2 linked regions of the Drosophila melanogaster genome follow. The protein of the gene in region 2 purifies or fractionates together with the protein of the main gene of each other region. This does not show direct contact. Each region holds a gene or a part of one and is shown on either strand. Other genes may lie near its edges.

What was found.
Region 1: the proteins of Lkb1 (region 2) and Mo25 purify together in Drosophila melanogaster (affinity purification with western blotting; 2 studies listed by BioGRID, with this or other methods). This does not show direct contact.

Annotation. Positions count from the first base shown.
Region 1 is NT_037436.4:16,612,718-16,617,468, forward strand, and holds Mo25 (Mo25), read right to left. Parts: upstream 2,756-4,751; 5' UTR 2,453-2,755; coding exon 1,433-2,452; 3' UTR 501-1,432; downstream 1-500. Other genes in the region: CG4101 (uncharacterized protein), read left to right, coding at 1-122.
Region 2 is NT_033777.3:13,674,823-13,680,242, reverse strand, and holds Lkb1 (Lkb1 kinase), read right to left. Parts: upstream 3,695-5,420; 5' UTR 3,299-3,694; intron 3,228-3,298; 5' UTR 3,134-3,227; coding exon 2,031-3,133; intron 1,965-2,030; coding exon 1,770-1,964; intron 1,709-1,769; coding exon 1,551-1,708; intron 1,494-1,550; coding exon 1,246-1,493; 3' UTR 1,177-1,245; exon of another isoform or gene 1,103-1,176; 3' UTR 813-1,102; downstream 1-812. Other genes in the region: omd (oocyte maintenance defects), read left to right, coding at 29-171, 231-512; CG9588 (uncharacterized protein), read left to right, coding at 3,714-3,815, 4,116-4,442, 4,507-4,740.

The sequences.
Region 1 (4,751 bases), on a different chromosome or scaffold from region 2:
TGGAGAATAACCCGGATGGCCAAAGTAATCCGGAGTCCGGCGAAGTGACGGAGCGGGAGGGCGAGCCGGTCCGGACGCGCCTGCACAAGATTCGTAAGCTGGAGAAGAAGAAGCGACGATAGATGTAGCCATCCTTAATATATACATATGTAGCTAGCCTAAGAACTCTCGAATTCATTTATTAAGATAATTGTAATAAAACCTAGTCGACAACGATTAAAGTAGAAGCCTGCACACATTTGAAAACTCCTTCATGGGATTCCTACAGCAGGCTGAGTCCTGGAATGGACTCATTTACTCATTTAGGCACACCTTGAAACGTGATTTGAAATCTCTTTTGGTTTCGGTGGCATTCCCAGCGTGTGAATCATCTCCCCAGCCCTTGATCGACGTTTTTTGGGTGAGGTTGCCGCCCTGGCACGATTTTTTGCACATGACTCAGGGGGGAGCTGCACGCCCCCTGAGAAAACCACCGCCCACAGTGGAAAAACTGCTGATTTGTTTGGCTGTTATCTTTAATTTGGGAATAATATAAATTATAATAATCGTATAGTTATTATGTTGCTTGCAATGTTGTTGTTTCTTGTTTTACTTCCCTTTTAACTATGTACGTATGCATGTGTGTAGTGTGTGTGTGTGTTGAATGCTTTCTCTCTCTTTTTCTTTCTCTTGCTCTTTCTATATATATATATCAGTGTATATATAGTAGAGTCCATGCCGAAGGATGCACAGACAATTATCACTATGAATTATTATTATTTTTATGCAGTATTTAGTTTTCGTTCTTTTCATGAATTTTGCGTGGAATTACATTTTTAAGTCAAAACTCATTGTGAATCTTCAGTTTTTTTTTTTTGGGGCGCAAAAGGGGCGTGGCAGGTCAAGGCGGTGAAGGGATATCTCGTTTCAAAAACGATCAAATTTTAAATACAACAACTAGTTAAATGGATATCGAAAAAAAGGGTCTGGAAAGGAAGGGGGATTACTTCGCGGAGGATCGACGAATGGTTAAACATATCTGTATAATAGGATAGCGGATCTCTAGGCCCAGAATGTCTAAATGTGGCTATGTTAAATTCGAAACTCTCGGTACAGTTTTATTTTTCGGCGTTACGCTATTTACTCGTACTTTTTCTTGTTTTCTAATTCGCTTTATCGTTATTTTTATCATTATCATCATCAGTGTTGTTTTTGTTGTTGTCTAAATTATTGTTTAGTTACTCACAAGTGTAGAGTCATCAGCGTCACAAAATATAGTATATAATATATATTTGCTTTAACCCACACACAAAACATGTTCACATCCTGCTAACCCACCATCGCTCTCTCTGCTTCCGTATCGATCGCTTCTGGCTTCTGGCTACGGTCCTTTTGCCCCCGGGACGCTGGAGCTGGAGTTGGAGCTGAAGTTGGAGCCGAGGTGGAGGTCCAACTAAGCCTCGGGCAGCGGCTTCAGCTCCTTTATCTGCTTGATCAGATAGGCCTTCTCGTCGTTGAACTGCTCGTCCTCGGAGCGATCCGTATGGAAGTTGGTCAGAAAGTCGACCAGCTTCGTCTGGTTGCGCAGCAGGATGTCCAGAATGGGCTTCGGCTTGTTGGGATTGGCCACGAACACCTTGAAGACGTGAAACGCCTCGAACTGAATGTTGCGCGACTTTTCCTTGAGCATGTTCATCATTAGCTTGAGGTTCTCCGGCTCGGATATGTAGCGCGTCATCACGGTGAAATTGTGCCGGTCCAGCAGCAGTTCCCCAAGCAGCTTCAAGCTCTGACGCCGCGTCACATAGTTCTCCGAGTTGAGCAGGCGCTGGTAGTGCTGCGAGAAGAACTTGTCGTAGTTGGCGTCCAGAAACTCCGCGCACAGCAGCTTATGGCGCGTGAGCAGCTCCTTGAACGTAGAAAAGGCATCGCTGGCAATGTCAAAGGTGGAAACCTCCACGTAGCGGAAGAACTTGAAGAACTCATCCGAGTGCAGCATGATCTTGGCCAGCGCCTCGTACCGGGCGCACTCCCTCAGCATGGTACCGGAGTTCAGTGCGATCTCCGGATGCGCATCTTCGTAGCCGGCCATCAGGGTGAACAGGATCTCCGGCTTCGTGCATATATACTCGACGGTGGGCGAACGGGTGCCAATCTGGCGGCGCAGCACATTATTGAAAATGAGCGCCACATGCTTCTTGCCCTCGAAATCGATGCGGTGCAGGTTCTGGATGAGCAGCAGCAGCAGGTTGCTGTTGTACAGCTCCTGGGACAGCTGGGCCACCACGTAGTCCGCCGGCGGCTCGGCATCGCTGCTACCGTACAGCATGTTCTTGATCGAGACCAGGTTCTTGCTGACGTCCTCCTGCGCCTTCTCCACCTTGCGGTCGCCCGCCTCCAGGGCGTTGATCGCCTCCTTCAGCGACTTGACCAGCTCCACTGGCGACTTCTGTGACTTCCCGAACAGTGGCATTTCGCTGTCTCACTCGCTGTTTCACTCGAAATGGGATTTGGACGTGGATTTGGATTGGGATTTGACTGCGGATGTGGTTGTCGTTGTGGTTTAGTTGGCCTGTCGATGATGCCTCGTACTTTCTGCCGATTATCCTGCTGTTCGGGGCCCTTCGGCTTTTTGGTCGTTCTGACTGTTGCCCAATTACCGACGGCAAAGACGCGGAAAACAATGCTTGGCAATATTATCACGGTGGAATATTCTATTATTATATATTATTTTTTTCTTGTCTTCTTCCAGGGATGAACAATTTCGATTGGCCGACGTTTCGATAGACGACGGCTCGATACAAGTATCGCATTGCTGGCGGGCAGTGTTGTAAAGGCTCGTTAGCTAAGCACAACACTAAAATTGAATTTTAAATTAAAAAATTACCAATCCTTTTATGGCTTTATAATATTAATATAAACATTAAAGATTCGAAAATTGTAAACTTGTTGACAAACTTTTGTTTATAGCCGTAAAATCAATATTATATAAAATTAATTACAGATTAATTTTTTGTTGCTTTTCTATAAAAGGGTAATCTGAAAAGGGAAAAAAGCATTGTCTTTGTTATTTCGCCCTAGAAAGGCGAAATAACAAATAATAATACATTGGTATTTAATACGAATATAAGTTTATAGGTTTCAAAATATAAATACCCAACGCCCAATTCATCCCGTTAGAACATGGTAGTTTGAATTCTTTAAATATCGTTTTATTTCTCATTGAAGTACTTTGTTTTTGATCCGTTTTCGTTTTAGATATTATTCTTTAGCGCTTATCAGGCGCTTGGTGTATTATAGAAGTTACAGAAATATATTTGTGTATATGCTGGCAACTTTTCGCTTTCGCCTCGCCAGCTGTGTTGGCCCATTTTTGTTTCTTTTTTGACATTTTTTTCGATTCCGGGCCAAGGAAGAGGACTTTTCGGGTTGTAGGGAAAGGCATAAGTTTATTGTATGCACATCAATATTTGTAATTATATCTGTAGGTTTGACCGCCCTGCATATTATCGCAGACTGCCCCACGCCTCACTGTCTCGATTCGTTTATTTTGAAATAAATGTTTTTCGTTTCGTTTTTGTTGTTTTTTTTTAATTTTTATGTGATTTTTGTTTACGTATAAAAGTTGTTTAAAATCTTTGAAAATATCAGATAATAATTACAGTTGGTTGTGTAATACGTCTTAAAAGCATTTCGATGCGCTTCGTTCTCGAACATAGATTAAACATAAATCAATATAGTCTTTGCCACTAAACATATCAATTTGAGTAGTAGTAGTTGTAGTTAGTTAATAATAATATCTTTGGGCTTCGCTACTGTGTATGCAATGGTTACGCCGAGCACATATAGATCATGATCATAGACATATAGTGACGTATTTGGGTGGTCCAAACCAGCCACTTCCATTATTTCAAAGAAATCAGTAATGCACTCTAGTAATTTTCCATAACGTATCCCAGCTGCGCAGCATTCGTTTATCTTTGGCAGCGCAGCCGTTCTTGTAAACATCCTAAAGCCTGACCTAAGCAGATTTGACTGCCCTCTTTCAACGCTACCTAATCTTAAGAACCCAAGAGCGAGGCTCTCCCGAAATACAAATATTGTTCAAATACTGAGGCTTCTCCTCAATCCAATTTGCATTTGATTTTTAGTCTTAAGCTGAGATCCAAAGAATAAAGTCGTGAAACTATTTCTCCTAAAAACTATTTTTTATTTCTTGGCGTTGTCCTTAGTCAACTGACGGGACATTAGTTCGACTCATAAATAAAACAACAATTTTACTGGCGCAGTCGGTAGGATACAAAAGTATCCGAAAAAAAAGAACCTTCGAGTGGAAAATAAGTTAAATTTTATAGTCCAGTGCTCGAAACATCTCCCAAAATAAATTCGTGAAAACTCTTCAACTTGGATTATAATTCCAATTCGGTTATCCAATAATAAGTGGAAGTGAAATACGAAACAAAAATATTAAGTCCAAAGGCAACTAAGTTTTAAAACCAACATATAAAAATAAAAAATTAAAACAATATAGAATTTTAATAATACAACACAAAAATTTACAAAACAAAAAAAAAAAACAAGTGAAACTAGAAAGCTTAAAAATAATAATAACATTGAATCCGAAACAAAACAAAAAAATAAAACACAAAAGTTAAAAATTTTACAATAAAAATGTCACAACCAATTATTGCGCTGAGCGACATAAACCTTGCCGAAGCCCGTCGGCAGCTTAAAGACATTATGCCATTCAAGGGTGATCCAGAAACCCTTCA
Region 2 (5,420 bases):
GGTGCCTAATCATATTATACGTTTGCAGTCAATCGATTCCAGCCCACTGCTGCGAACGATGAGCTGATGCTGTGCACCAAGAAGATGCTGCAACTGCTGGCTATGAGCCAACTAATTCCACCTCCACTCACCAATCTGCATCTCATCATCGAGCACTTTGAATCGGCAGAGGTAGATCCATTATTTGCCCAAACTGTGTAGTAGCACCAACTAATGTATGACATTTCCAGATTGCCCTGCTGCTGCGCGAGTGCATCTGGAACTATCTTAAAGATCACGTGCCCTCGCCGGCGCTGTTTCACGTGGACAACAACGGGCTGCACTGGCGCAACACGAATACACAGCTGGCCAAGGTGCCGCCGCAATATGTGGACCCGTTGCGCCACCTAATGCAGCGTAAGCTGTCCACCCTGGGCCCCCACTACCATCAGATGTTCATCATGGGCGAGCTGATGGAGGGCGACTCAGAGCCAGATCCGACGGCCCGGCTGCAGATCGTTGAAATAGATTAAGCAAACGTAGTTAGCTAGCCTAATGTTGTAGTGTGAGCATGAGCGTGTGTGCATGGAATAATGGAGCGTCTGCGAGTGTTGAGTGTGGAATTTGGAATGTGCGAAATGTGCGAACTAAATGCAGTGTTTGTATTTTGATATTCAATGGGTTCTTTTATTTTCGTTTCATTGGTTTGTAAAAATTAAAATCTCAACCTAGGCCTTGCAAATACTGTCCAGCAGTTATTGTACCGACGGCGCCTGAAAATCGCATCATTCGTCGTGTGTAGTTTAGAATATAACGAAGCCAACAAACAATTTCACTTGAACATATTTCTTTATGTGTGCGACGCACCAATGGGCACCGTCTCCTCCGGCAATCCTCGGCTGCCTTCAGTACATCATAATATATTAACGACTAATTTACGCATTCATTTGTTTCATATAATACACAGTATTGTCACATGGATATATAGCTTTCGTGTCGCTCCCATAGCTCCCCAATTCCACAGCCAACTCCGCTGATGCGGGCTGTTGCTGCTGTTGATGCGACCGCTGCTGCTCCTGCTGCTCGGGCGGTACGAGGTTGCGCCTGAATTTCCTACATGATTCTATGGTTACAAATACTTGGCGAATGTAGGACAACAGAATAAAAACGGGAAAACAAAACCAAAAAGTTGCTCACAATTTGTTAACAAAGTTATTCCTTTCGATAAATCTTAGCATCTATGTTTAGTGGAGGCATCTAAGGCGCCTACGAAGTTCGGCAGTGGCTCAGCTTGCGCACGGAGATGCAGGACGTCAGCTTCTTGGCGCGCCTCTTCAGTGCCGATCCCTTCTTCTTGACGGGCGCCTCCTCTCTGCTACCGTTGCCCAGCGAATTGCTGGCGGCTGCGGCACTTGTGGAGGGCGGTTCGTAGGTGTGGCAGGCGGCTAGGGCTGCCGCCGACTGTTTGGCCCGAATTTCGGAGGCAGCAGCTGCCGCTTGGCGGGCGAGCTCCTCTGTAAAGGTAACCATGAAAGTAGTTCACTCGGCATTAGATTGATGTTGGTACGTACGATTTACGTCGTGTTCTGTAAAGTAGACATCCTCCTCCTGGGTGCCGTAGTGGTAAGCTTCCAAGTAAGGTATCACCGTGGAGTTGCGGTATTTGTCACCCTTCAGGGGGGGAATGGGTATCGGTGGGCCGGTCTTAACCGGTGCGGATCGGAACCAACTAAAAGCAGATTATAACAATCAGTTATCATGAAGTGCAATCAAGGAATATTCCTACTTACGTGTCGTGGCGTATTTCCTGCAGAGAGAGGCGTTTACTGGGATCAGCCTGAAGCATGCCGAGAATCAGGTTGGCAAAGTCCGCGTCCATTTCGTATAGCCACGCGGGCGCCTCCCACTGACCTCGCCCGATGTTCTCCAGCAGTCGGTAGATATTGTCGCCCTCGAAGGGATACTGTCCAGTGGCCAAATTGTAGCTGCAAATCCGTTAGATTAGTACAGTATATACATTTAATACATGATATTATACAAGGAAGGCTTACAGAGTCACTCCGCTGGACCAGATGTCCACCTTGAAGCCGGCGAACGTCTCGTGTCCGTTGGCAATCTCCGGTGGCTGGAAGGCCGGAGAACCTTGGCCCGTCGTGCATGTGTCGTCAGGTGCGAACAGATCCAGTTGCTCCGCCACACCGAAGTCGGATATCTTCAGCGTTTGATCCAGGGAGAGCAGCAGGTTGCCTGGCTTGATATCCTTGTGGATGACCCGGCAGCTGTGCAAGTACTCCAGGCCGTCGACTAGCTGTTTGAAGTAACCGTGCGCCTGAAACAGCGGCATCCGCTTGTCTGGCTGATAGTCAATCATCTCCTGCAGCCCGCCGACACAGTACTCCATGACCAAGTACATTTTCTGCTTCTCCTCGTTGTACAAAACATCGACCAGCTCCACGACATGTCGATGCTTCAGCTGCTTCAGCAAGGCGATCTCGCGCGTTACGTTCTGTTCGCCGTTGGGAATCCGGCGCAACTTCCGCTTAGTCAGGATCTTGACGGCCAGGCGGCACAGGTTCTCCGAGTTCATGGCCTCCTTCACCTTGCCGTACGATCCCTCGCCGAGAACATCGCCCATTATGTACTTGCCCACCATCTTAATGCTCTTCTTTTTCTGCTGATAGATGATGTCCTGGCTGTCGACGCGATTGAAGAACATATTACCCATGTCCAGCGTCACGCGATCGAGCGTCTCGATCTCGTCGTCGTCCAGCCACGTGACTTGCGGATGTGGCTGGTCATCGAGCAGCAGTTCATCCGGATTGTAGAAGCCAACGCCCGCGCCCGCATCATCCGCTTGGGCGGTGTCTTCTTTGAGCTCCACAAAAGCGTCGTCGTCCAGATCGGAGGCGACGTCATAGTGAAAGTTCTTATTGGCCAGCAGTACGGTCATCTCGTCCTCAACAGGATCCGGCTCCTCCTCCTCCACCTTGTGCTGGGCCCCTCCGCCCGTGGGATGATGTAGATGATGATGGTGTGCTGCCTTGACCTGTGCCTCCATGGTGGTCACAGTCATCTGGCCTGTTGCTCCTGCCCCTCCTGCTTCTGCTCCACCGGCTGCTTTACCTCCGACTGGCCGAGAGCTAGAACATTGCATAAACCTCCGCGGAGCCCCAATGATCACATATCGCAGGTGGCAGCCCCACTCCGGCGGATGGGAGTGGACGGTGTGGTCCCTGTGTTGCCTGTGGCTGCAAAACGTTTGGTTAGTTCATGGCTACACCTAATCCTCACCAGGCACACACGCGCTTTTATCGCTCACCTCTCGAAATACCTTTATTTTTGTAATCAATTCGCACACACTCGAATTGATTGCCGTGCGATTTTTCGAGGTCCCTCGTCGCCCGTCGTCTATTCTGCGATGTCCGCTGGAAAGGCGTTCCCCCCTTTCGTTTCACCGTCGTGCGATCTGTTTCTCATAGAAATTTGTGAATTCCTGTGTTTACTCTCGCCGTTCAATTTGTTCTTTTCCCCTTCCGAAAAATTGTTTAACAATTAGTTTTTGGCCAAAGTAAGTTCGCCGCAATACGGTCACACTGGTCGCGGGCAACCAGGGCTGCACGAGCACTGGTTGTTGTTGCTACTGTCGCTGCTGAAAAAAAAAAACATTAACGAAAAATAATAAATTTGTATTTTTCGGGACGAACGCTGGAATAACTCGAATCGAAGTGGAAGTCATGGCCGCTGGGACGACGACCAAGGAGCGCCTGGAGCGTCTGATTAACGCTAAAAAGCAGCTGGAGGCGCAGATCAACAGAAACGGACAGATCCTGGCCGCCGTAAGTAAATTCGCTTGCTCATCCGGGGATACCCTGCATCCGGGATAGGGTATGCACACTGTGGCAAGCTGTTGGTGACGCACCACCGTGGATATTCATGATCGCAGGTTCTTCAACTTGGACGGACCGCCAAGCCAAATGTTGATATATTCAATACCCTACTGTTGGTTAGGGTATGTCCACTTGGGCAAGCATTACAGCATTATCCTATGCTTTGGTGTAGGGTATATACACAATTGTATTTTGAGTACATTCTTTTGTTTATGCTGTATAGCATTGATAATGATATCTTCCTTCCAGAACGACAATGTGGGCATGAGTGGACCACTGGTGGACGCCGAGGGTTTTCCGCGCAACGACATCGACGTTTACCAGGTGCGCCTGGCGCGACAGACGATCATCTGCCTGCAGAACGACCACAAGGAGCTGATGAACCAGATCCAGACGCTGCTCAACCAATATCACAGCGAGATTGCCACCACAGATCCGGAGCTGGTGAACCGCGCCTCCGCTTTGGACCTGGACAGCGACCGTTCACCCGGTGGCGCTAATATCACGGATCTTGCTCCTGCACGCGCCATCGTGGTGGTCAATCTGGTCAGTCCCGATTCGCCCGCCGAAAGAGCTGTGAGTGAATGTAGTAAACAAGCGAAGATCACAGCATTGAGATGGGCCATCTTTACCATTTAAGGGTCTCTGTGCCGGCGATGCCATCCTCCGCTTTGGCTCCATCAATAGCGGCAACTTCAAGGGAGATCTCGCCCAGATTGGCGAGCTGGTGCGCAACATGCAGAGCCAGAATGTCCAGCTGAAAGTGAAGCGCGGCGAGCAGCAGTTGGACCTCATCCTGGTGCCGAAAACGTGGAGTGGACGCGGTCTCCTGGGCTGCAACATCGTCCTGCCGCCCGAGGCGATGGATCACTGATGTAGCTTTGTGTTTAAGCTTTTTTCGAGTTGCCTGTGCACTCCTGCCCTGCACTTTAGTTATCAGCCCATCTCTGCCAGGCCGACGAACATGGTTGCTCCAAATTGTGAAAATTGATTTTTGGACGCGATTTCAGGGCAATTTCAGCTGGAGTCATCTCGCTGACTGACAGCCGGGTCAGTGGGCCAAGGAGCAGCAGTGGAGTGACCCAAGGTGCACAGGTGACAGGCAAAAGGATGATATTGTGATTCGGTGGATTCTGTCGACATGACCGATTTTTTTTGCATTTAATTTTCATTCAATATGAAATGATGCGTAACAAAATGATGAGGCGGTTTTACTAACAAATAAGTTTTTATAGCGCTTTTACTGGTAAATAAAGAAGGATATATAATTAAAAATATAAAAAACAAATTTGGAAATTATTATCTAAAAGCATAAACGTTTTTGCAGAAGACTATGGTTTATTCTTCTTATGAACATTTCAATTTAACAGAGAAACAAATTCTAAAGAAATGTTCGATTTTAAAAGTTCTGTTTTTGAACATCCAGGTACTAGCCAAGTTTTCAACCAATGCTCAAGCGCTTAGTCAGGGCACAATGGCTTTAAAACTGTACTCCTTCTTAAGATAAAATTATTTATATATCTGACGTGAGCAATTTAATTGAAAGAGTGTATT